Linked DNA regions of Macaca mulatta. The protein of the gene in region 2 interacts with the protein of the main gene of each other region in a biochemical or structural test. Links are inferred from orthologs where the notes say so. Each region holds a gene or a part of one and is shown on either strand. Other genes may lie near its edges.

Region 1 (5,121 bases), about 9.3 Mb from region 2:
CCTCCCAGGCTCAAATTATCCTCCTACCTCAGCCTCCCAAGTAGTTGGGACTACAGGTGTGCACCACCACACCTACCTAATTTTTAAATTTTTTGTAGAGACAAAGTCTCTCTATGTTACCCAAGCTGGTCTCAAACTTCTGGGCTCAAGTGATCCTTCTGCCTCAGCCTCCCAAACTGCTGGGATTACAAGTGTGAGCCACTGTGTCTAGCCCCCTTCTCTTTTATACAGTTCCCTTGTTACTACCAATATGCGGTGTTTTGTAATAAAAATGTCATGGTTTTATAGCAATTTACAGTTTCCGAGACATTGTTTCTTATAACAGTTCTGCTAGGTGTACGTTTTTATGCTCATTTTAAAGAGAAGGAAACTCTGAAGTCTAAAAAGTTGAGTCAGTTCACCTTTGGTTACAATGAGTCATTGTTAAAACAAAAGATTTTAACCAGTGTCCAATGGTTTTTTTCCCCCACCACACCTACTCTACACTCTGCTGCTAATGCTTTTTCAGGGAGAAAAGGACTCATTGTTAAGACTGGGGGCCATGCACGGTGGCTCATGCCTGTAATCCCAGCACTTTGGAAGGCTGAGGCGGATGGATCGCCTGAGGTCGGGAGTTTGAGACCAGCCTGGCCAACATGGTGAAACCCTGTCTCTACTAAAAATACAAAAATTAGCTGGATGTGGTGGCACGTGCCTGTAATCTCAGCTACTTGGGAGGCTAAGGCAGGAGAATCACTTGAACCCAGGAGGTGGAGGTTGCGGTGAACTGAGAACCAGCCGTTGCACTCTAGCCTGGGCAACAAGAGCAAAACTCTGTCTCAAAAAAAAAAAAAAAAAAAAAGACTGGGGGTAGGAATCAGAGACTGCTGTCCCGACTTACAGAATCTTATACTGTTCTAGTTGCCAGGCCCCAAGAATGATGTCATCTCAGCACTGTCTCTAGAACCATTCATTCTCTCTAAGTGTGGAACTTAGACGAGTGAGAGCAGGCTCCTATTAAATAATTATGATCTTGATTGCTCTGGCCCTACTCAACTGTAAATTTTTTCCAGAGCCAGAATGGCTTCACAGAGGACAACTTTGCTCTGAAAAGAGTCTCTTTGGTCAGTGGTCCTCAACTGAGAGCTTTACAAAGAGTACCAATGCCCAGTTCCAGCGCTGGAGATTTTAATTGGCTTGGGGTAGAGCCCTGGCATCAGTATTTTTAGAGGCTCCCCAGGTAATTCCAATGTGCAGCCAGGCTGAGAATCACTGCTCGGTAAGTGGGATGACTGGGGAGTGGGAGATCAAATACTCTAACTTCTCACAGCACCTATTCTAGAGATCAGTGGGGCAGAAAGATAGAAATAAAAGGTGGAAAAGGACGAAATGGGTAAGTGTGGGTGAACTAGTTCCAGGGAAACGGCAATCTCCACTGTGGATTCAGGGAAGGCGTCACTGAGGGCTTTCTTAACAGTTCAGGTCAATGGAAGCCATCTTGAGGCACACACATCGTGCGCGGCATCCTCCGGGAAGGTCGGGTCATTTCACCCCATTTTACTGCCGAGATGACCTAGGTCCAGAGACGGTAAAGAGCGGTGTACGACTCACACAAGTCGGGGGTCCTGTGAACTGAGGTTGAGCCTGGCGGGGGCAAGGCTCGGGGTGTTCGGTCCGAGATCTTTAAGCGAAGTCACCAGACCCCGCGTTCAAAGCCCAGAGGTAGGCAGGCGGCTGGCTCTCGGCCTCAGGCCGGGAGAGAACCCAGCGGGTACCAACCTCAACCTCGCTCCCGCGTCCAGGTGGAGAAGCGGAGCTGGTTGGCCCCGCCTCCGGGTTAAACAAAGTTCGTTACCTCCTAGGCGTGAGAGGGTGTGGCAGTCTTGTTGTCACTTCCGGGCGAATAGGTTAGCTAGAAGGAACCCCTCCATTACGCGACGGCGTAATCTGACGTCACTTCCGCGCGCCGCCGCAAACGTCAGTGTCGGGCGCAGACCGCAGCAGTGCGGCTTGCTGTTGGAAGTTCAGGCTCGGTTGTCTTTTGGGAGCCATGGAGAGTGACTTTTATCTGCGTTACTACGTGGGGCACAAGGGCAAATTCGGCCACGAGTTCCTGGAGTTTGAGTTCCGACCGGATGGTAAAAGCAGCCTGCCGCCCGCCGGGAGCGGGACCAGGCCTTGGGGCGGGCGAGTGGGGAGGCCGAGGGTCGGAAATCTGTGGGGAACTAGAGGAGGAAGGGGCTGAGACCTGTGCAGTGCGGATCTGAAAGGAGCGCCACTGTGTCTGCTCCACGGCGTCGTTTTATCCATACAACAAACGTTGGCTGAACGCCCACTGTGTGCCAGGCTCTGTTCCACTCTTTGGGGATACGACAGCGAAGATAGACAAACTTCCTCTCTCGTGGAACTTGTGTTTTACTGCTGGGAGAGAGATCATAAAAAGATGATTCCGGATAGCAGTGAGTGGTCAGAAAATATGGTAGAATCGCTGGATGGGCTGCTTTTAGATAGGTTGGCCATTAGAGAGCTCTAATGGTATATTGCAGCTGAGCCCTAATTAGCAAGAAGGACCCAGCCTTGTGAAGCTCACAAGGAAGACCATTCTACCCAAAGGGAATACCAGAAGTCAAGGCTGCAGGGCGGGAATGAGCTTAGGCATGTCTCAGGTGGTCAGTGTGATTGAAGAGTGGTGAGCTGGGAGATGGCAGGAGATGATGTCGGATAGGTAGTAGGAGCCGCACCTTGTAGATCTTTATAGACCATGGTAAAGAGTTTGGACTTGGAAGGCTTTTTTTATTTTATTTATTTTTTTTTTTGAGACGGGTTTCGCTCTTTTTGCCCAGGCTGTAATGCTATGGCGCGATTTCGGATCATTGCAACCTCCGCCTCCCGAGTTAAAGCGATTCTCCTGCCTCAGCCTCCCGAGTAGCTGGTATTACAGACACCCACCACCACGCCCGGCTAATTTTGTATTTTTAGTAGAGACAGGGTTTCACCAGGTTGGCCAGGCTGGTCTCGAACTTCTGACCTCGGGCGATCCGCCGGCCTCGGTGTCCCAAAGTGCTGCGATTACAGGCGTGAGCCACCGCGCCTGGCCGGGCTTGGAAGGTTTTAAGCAGAGAAGAAATGTGATCTGTTCTTGAAAAAGCATTCTGGTTATTGGGTGCGGAATGGGCAACAGTGAAAACAGGGCTATTGATTAGGAGACTGTTGTCAAGACAAGAAAGATGTTGGGGGCCAGTCGCAGTGGCTCACGCCTGTAATCCCAGGACTTTGGGAGGCTGAGGTGTGCGGATAACTTGAGGTTAGGAGTTCGAGACCAGCCTGGCCAACATGGTGAAACCCCGCCTCTACTAAAAATACAAAAATTAGCCGGACGTGGTGGCAGATGCCTGTAATCCCAGCTGTTCGGGAGGCTGAGACAGGATAATCGCTTGAACCTGGGGCGGAGGTTGCAGTGAGCTGAGATAGTGCCAGTGTACTCCAGTCTGGGTGACAGAGCGAGACTGTGTCACAAAAAAAAAAAAAAAAAAAAGATGTCGGTTGGGACTACAGAGATAGTAGAAATGGAGAGAAAGATTTAGGAAACTGTTGGAGGCAGAATCAACTGGACTTTGATCGTTGATAGGATTTTTTTGGCGGAGGCACTGTGGTGAAGGAAAGAGGAATCAAAGATGACAGAAAACATCCATTAAGCGGGCCACAAAGATGTATCTGACAGGCCCCGACTGTGAGGGAGATGGATTTGTAAGCAGGGACCAAACAGCGTATTAGGTGTTGTGGTAAAAAGAAACAGAGGAGACTTGCAGCAGAGAAGGGGCACCTAGCCAAGCCTGAGGGTCAGAGGAGGCTTCCTACATAAAATGATGGGAGGAGGGGATGTGAGGTATTGGTTAGGAGACCAAGAAGAGTCAAGAAGGCATTTTAGACAGCATGCAAAGAGGCTGAAAACCAAAAAGTGCTTGGGATGTTTCAGGCAGAAACCAAGTTGTTCGACTCCAGCTGTGTGAGAGAAGAATATTGCAGGAGTGAGGCTGGAAAAGCAGGCAGGGGCTTTGCTTAGCCGTATGCCATGTTGAGGAGTTTGGATTTTTTTTTTTTTTTTTTTTTTGAGATGGAGTCTTGCTCAGTTGCCCAGGCTGGAGTGCAGTGGCACGATCTGGGTTCACTACAAGCTCCGCCTCCCGGGTTCACGCTATTCTCCTGCCTCAGCCTCCTAGGTAGCTGGGACTACAGGCGCCCGCCACCACGCCTGGCTAATTTTTTACATTTTTAGTAGAGACGGGGTTTCACCGTGTTAGCCAGGATGGTCTCGATCTCCTGACCTCGTGATCTGCCCGCCTCGGCCTCCCAAAGTGCTGGGATTACAGGCGTGAGCCACCGCGCCCGGCCGGATTTTAACCAGGAAGGCAGCGGAAAGCCATTGACTTTATCAAAGTATTAGAGTAACCTAATCTGATAGATCTGTTACCACATCACCTTGTCCACTATATGGACAGTGAACTGAATGTGAAGAAACTTGAGGCAGAGAGACAGCACAGAGACCGTTGGAATAAATTCACTGGGCTCATCTCACATGTATGTCTTCTAGTCTACATGTCTTCTGTTTCCTTCTATCTTCTCCTCATCCCCACCATGTATTCACATTAACCTGTTAGACGCACACATGGACAAAGGGTCTTGTGTACCAAATGTGCTCAGTGATAAAAGCAACAACTTTTCCATCACAGAAATAGAGTGTGGCACAGTCACATGATAATATATGTAAACAGCATCCTACAGTTTTCAAAATGTTTTCACAACTCATTTGAGCCTCAGGAGGTCCTATGTGCTGGTAAGTTATCATTTACTCTGCCTGTTTTCAGGACATTCACCTGCAAAAATGTGATTCGACAAAGTCAGAAAAGAGCCTGCCTGTGTTTTTACCTCACCTGAGCTGCTTTTTGCAGTAGTTGAGTGTCAGCTGTATATTTGGCTGTTTAAGCCTGAAGTGAAGAACTGAAAGACTAGTATTGTTGAACTACCTTAAGAGTAAATAATAAATGTCTTAGACACTTTGAGCAAGTTGGATACATTTTAGGCAACTGCCGATAGTCTTGGTATGGTATTGATGCTTTATTCATGTTTTTATTATATGTTGAA
Region 2 (4,361 bases):
TCTGGCTTACTCAATTCATAGAACTGTGCTGGATAGCAGATGTGGTCTTAAGTGAAGGTAGTTTGCATATTGTAAAGTTCTTTACAAAGACTGCTTTGGTTGCTATTCCCAGAACTCCCTCCAGGATTTCTCCAGGAGAAAAGGAAGCCATGGGCATCGTGGCCTCTTTGCTTAACTCCCCAACCCAGTTTCAGTTAGCCTCTTGGCTTTAGACCACACCTGGGCCACTGTCATCCCACAGAGCTGCTTCTTTACATGGTAGTCATCATCCTGCCTTTCCTCACCTCCCAGGACCTCAGTCTGCTCTCTACTCCTCCGTAAGCTGGCAGAGCAGCTTAAGCCTGCATCTGTGCATTCCTTGGGGCTCCCTACCTCAAGCCTATTTGGAGGAGATAACATCTGCTCTTCTTCAGAGGCTAGTCCATAGCCTTGGTTTTACAGAGCAGTGATAGGGGGTGATTTTTTTTTTTAAGTCTACAAAGTTTTTGTAACCTTATGAAGCACTTGTGATATCTCTGCTTTGCAGTTTGAGGCTTCCTTTGAGATGATCCCTAGAATTCAGGATATCCTCCTTTTTCATTCATGAGAGAGTTCAGCAAACCACTTCTTCCCCTAGGTGACCCATGCACTGGGTCTTCAGTGTGCATTCTGGGGTAATAGGTTTGAACTGCTCCCCTCCTCCCTGCTACCAAGTCCTTCTCAAGTGGGTCACAGTGATCAATAGCAGAAGCACTTCACTTCTTCCTGTGTCTTCAGGTGGTGGTGGTGCTGCAGCAGGTCTTCCAGCTTATCCAGAAGGTGCTGAGCAAATGGTTGAATGATGCCCAGGTTGTGGAGGTGAGCCCTGACCCTTGTCCTCTGCTCCCACAGTGACTGCTCAGAGGTGTAGCAGGGTAAGATGTTACTGCCACACGTCAGCTTACAATGGTTTGGAGAAACAAGGGAGGTGAATCCTGCCCCATAGAGATAAGGAATCTTTTGGGAAGACATTTAGAACTCCCCAATATGAGAAGTGCTTAACGCAAGAACTGTAATATTAGGGTCGAGTGACACTCAGGCATCTGTTTTAGCACCAGAGACCTGCCTTTGGTCCCTTTTCAATTCAGGTTTTTGTTGCTGTTGCTGCTCCCTGAGAGGAAATGGTAGAGATGTAAGTAGCAGGAGTTAAGTTCTACAGTTACATCCTTTGCCCCTCAGTGAAGGGCCTTTGCCCCTGCCTTTCAGGGTAAGGGTCAGACTTGCTTACGTTCTTTTGTTTGCAGGGCCAGGCAAGGCTTATAGGTAAGGGCCCGATTTTAGGCCCCCTCTGTGCAGGGCTTCAGCGCTGTTCCAGCCAGTCATGACCTGCTGACCAGGGCCCCTTTGTTTTCTTCCCAAGGCGGTGTGCGCTATCTTTGAGAAGTCTGTTAAGACGCTGCTGGATGACTTTGCCCCCATGGTGCCACAGCTGTGTGAGATGCTGGGTCGGATGTACAGCACCATCCCCCAGGCCTCTGCTCTTGACCTCACTCGACAGGTGGGCCTTCTGGTTGGGGCAGAGCTCCTGACCCTGGGTGGGGGTGGGTCAGATGGCTGCTGTGGCTGGGGTCCCCACTTGCATTCCAGGGATATTGCTCTATCCTGGTGAGACTGGGTCTCAGCTGACCAGCATTCCCTGCTTTCTTGTAGCTGGTCCACATCTTTGCTCATGAGCCTGCCCACTTTCCCCCAATTGAGGCCCTCTTCCTGCTCGTCACCTCCGTCACACTCACTCTCTTCCAGCAAGGTAGGTCCTGACCAGGGTCTCTGCTGCTGCTGCCACTGCCACTGCCTCTGCTTCCCCAAATGGGGAGCCAAAGCTGCCCACTCTGTTCTTCTCTGTCCCCTGAGTCACACGTGGGACTTGATGGGAAACCTGTGAGATCAAGCACAGCACCTTACAAATAGTTGAAACCTTAGGTTGAAGTGGATAAGAGGGTGAATGATGTCTTCTGCTGGCCTGCTGGGCTCAGGGCCAGTCTGGATATGGAAGAAGGAGGTGGGGGTGGGAGGTGGGCAGAGGCTCTGAGGGACTTGGGGCACTGGGCTGGCTCCTTTACTTTGGGATATAACGAAAAGTGGAAAGAGCACGGGCTTTTGAAGTCAACTAGACCTAGATTCTAAGTTCATCACCACCAACTAGTTGTGTGTCCTTGGGCAAGTCACTTACCTTTGCTGGGCCTTCATTTCCATATCTGTGAAACGGAGATACCATATACTTGAAATGAGTGTTTACAGGTGTTAAAGTCACATCTTCTGGGCCCCTGGCTCGGGGGCTTTTGCACAGTGAAGTACTCAGAGACCGCTTGTTCCTTTCCCCGCATCAAGGCTTAGTCCTTTCTAGGCCTGAAGTCGAGTACCTTTGGCTGTGGTCCTAGCCCTCCATTCACTGTGGCCCTTTGCCTGAGAGAGTTGGGAGCAGGGGCTTCATTCAGGCTTCTCGTGTTGTCTAATCCAGGCTTCCAATTTGGAGAAACAAAAACAAACAAAAAAAAACAACACTGCTCAGCTAGCCTCATGAGCCTTGCCTGGATTCGTGGTCACGGGTTTGAGGCTCCCCAGGGGTCTCGGTTGGCGCCCAGAGTACTTGCAGCTCATATCCTCAGTGCTTGGTCTCATGATCCTGGCCTCTGTTTCTGTGGGCCATGGAGTAGGTCCAAACTGGGGAGAAAACTGAACCAGAAACCTGGTGTGGTCATCCTCAACTCCACCTCTCCCACTCCCTGTACCCAATCTGGGACAAGCCCCATTGATCCTGGCTCCTGATTCTCTCTCGGTCGGTCCACTTCTACCCACCTCTGTGGCCACTGCCTCAGTTTAGGGTCTCACCTGGATTATCAGCAACCTTCTAGTGGGTTTTCTTGACATCTCCCCTTCTCTCCAATCTGTTCTGCACACTGCAGCTATAATCTTCATGAAAACACAAATCTGAGCATTTGTCTTCCCAGGCTTAAAACCCTTTCATTGTTCCCATTGCCCTCAGCTTATTGTTCCATTCCCACCCACGTGACAAGGCTCTGTCATGCCTCTCCTGTCCTCTCCTGCTGATGTCCTCATGACTCCAACATTCCAGCCACACTGCCTCTTCCTTACTGTGTCCCATTTGATCCCTGTGCCTTGCTCCTCTGACTGGAATGTCCTATGCCCTTTACTGGGTGAACTCTCACTCCTTCATGCCTTACAAAAGAGGAGGACTGCATCACTTCTCAAAGTAATTTTTCTGAGGCAGAATTGGGTGCTTCTAACTGTACTGAAACTGCATCCCGTACACACTGCTGAAACAGCACCGATCACACACAATAATCAGCTTTCATGTCTATCTCTCTTACTAGACTAAGCCCCTCAAGGGTAGGGTTGAGTTTCTTCTCTCTGCATCCCCAGTGCCCAGAATGAGGCCAGAATACAGCAGGCCACAGACGCTGTTAAGTAAAGGAGAGGGAAGGCTCCCTGCCCTTGGAACCTTCTCACTGTCTGGCCCACCTCTAACAGGGTGGCTGCTGAATATCAAACCTGCAGGGTGCACATTGGGCCTCACTTTCTAGGACTTAAATAACTCAGAGTTCAGATACCAAAGGAACAGGCTTTATTTACTGGTGACTCTTCATAGCCTAGAGAAGGAAGCAGGGCAGAGATTATCTGCTTTACAGATGGGGAAACTGAGCATTTGTGGCTTGCGCAAGATCACACAGCTACTTAGTGGTGTCTTAGGCAGATGGTTTTGCACCACATCCTCCTCAGAGTGGAGAAGCCTGGGTAGGAGCTCCAGGTGCATGCCATATTCTTGCCTCAGGAATCATCAGAACTGGAGGCAGAAGTGTCCAACATCATATTTGTTGGGCTTGTTGGTTGTCTCACTGGACAGGATGGCTCCCATACCTGTTACGCCATCCCAATCTTAGCCATTCCTTCCTCGGGCTCTGCCTTCCCACTGGACCATGGGATGACACGTTGACTGCTTTCCCTATTTCTTGGCATGTCCAGATGATGGGAACTAGTCCTCAGCCCTGAGCTTGGCTCTCTGCTGAGTCTGTGTCCATGTGGAGGAGCTTTGCTGGGGTGGGGCTCTTGTTTTCGGCCTTATGATGCTGTTTCCTCCTCTGGTTCCCTGCCAGTGACTTGCCAGGCCATCTCCAGAGCATGCTGGGCACTGCCATACCTAAGCAAGAGTCCTCTGGTTTAAGTGGACCAAATAGATTATTTTCCTTTGCCAGATCAAGAGCCCTAAGGCCATTGAAGTGAGGTGGCACTTACTCAGGCTCTGATGCCCTGGCCTTTCTAGGGCCCTCAGATAAACCACAAAAAAGAGATACCAAGGACTGACCCCCCCCACCCCCACCTGCCAT

The links. The genes of interacting proteins can lie anywhere in the genome.
Region 1: the proteins of IPO13 (region 2) and MAGOH form a complex in vitro, tested with the Homo sapiens proteins (2 studies listed by BioGRID and IntAct). The link is inferred for Macaca mulatta from reciprocal best matches to the Homo sapiens genes IPO13 and MAGOH.

What each region holds. Positions count from the first base shown.
Region 1 is NC_133406.1:187,368,384-187,373,504, forward strand, and holds the start of MAGOH (protein mago nashi homolog), read left to right. Parts: upstream 1-1,956; 5' UTR 1,957-2,029; coding exon 2,030-2,117; intron 2,118-5,121. UniProt on the Homo sapiens protein: Required for pre-mRNA splicing as component of the spliceosome. Plays a redundant role with MAGOHB as core component of the exon junction complex (EJC) and in the nonsense-mediated decay (NMD) pathway.
Region 2 is NC_133406.1:196,691,566-196,695,926, reverse strand, and holds part of IPO13 (importin-13), read left to right. Parts: intron 1-452; exon of another isoform or gene 453-756; coding exon 757-837; exon of another isoform or gene 838-1,378; coding exon 1,379-1,516; coding exon of another isoform or gene 1,517-1,553; exon of another isoform or gene 1,554-1,640; coding exon of another isoform or gene 1,641-1,668; coding exon 1,669-1,765; exon of another isoform or gene 1,766-1,894; intron 1,895-2,188; exon of another isoform or gene 2,189-2,691; intron 2,692-2,847; exon of another isoform or gene 2,848-2,949; intron 2,950-4,361. UniProt on the Homo sapiens protein: Functions in nuclear protein import as nuclear transport receptor. Serves as receptor for nuclear localization signals (NLS) in cargo substrates.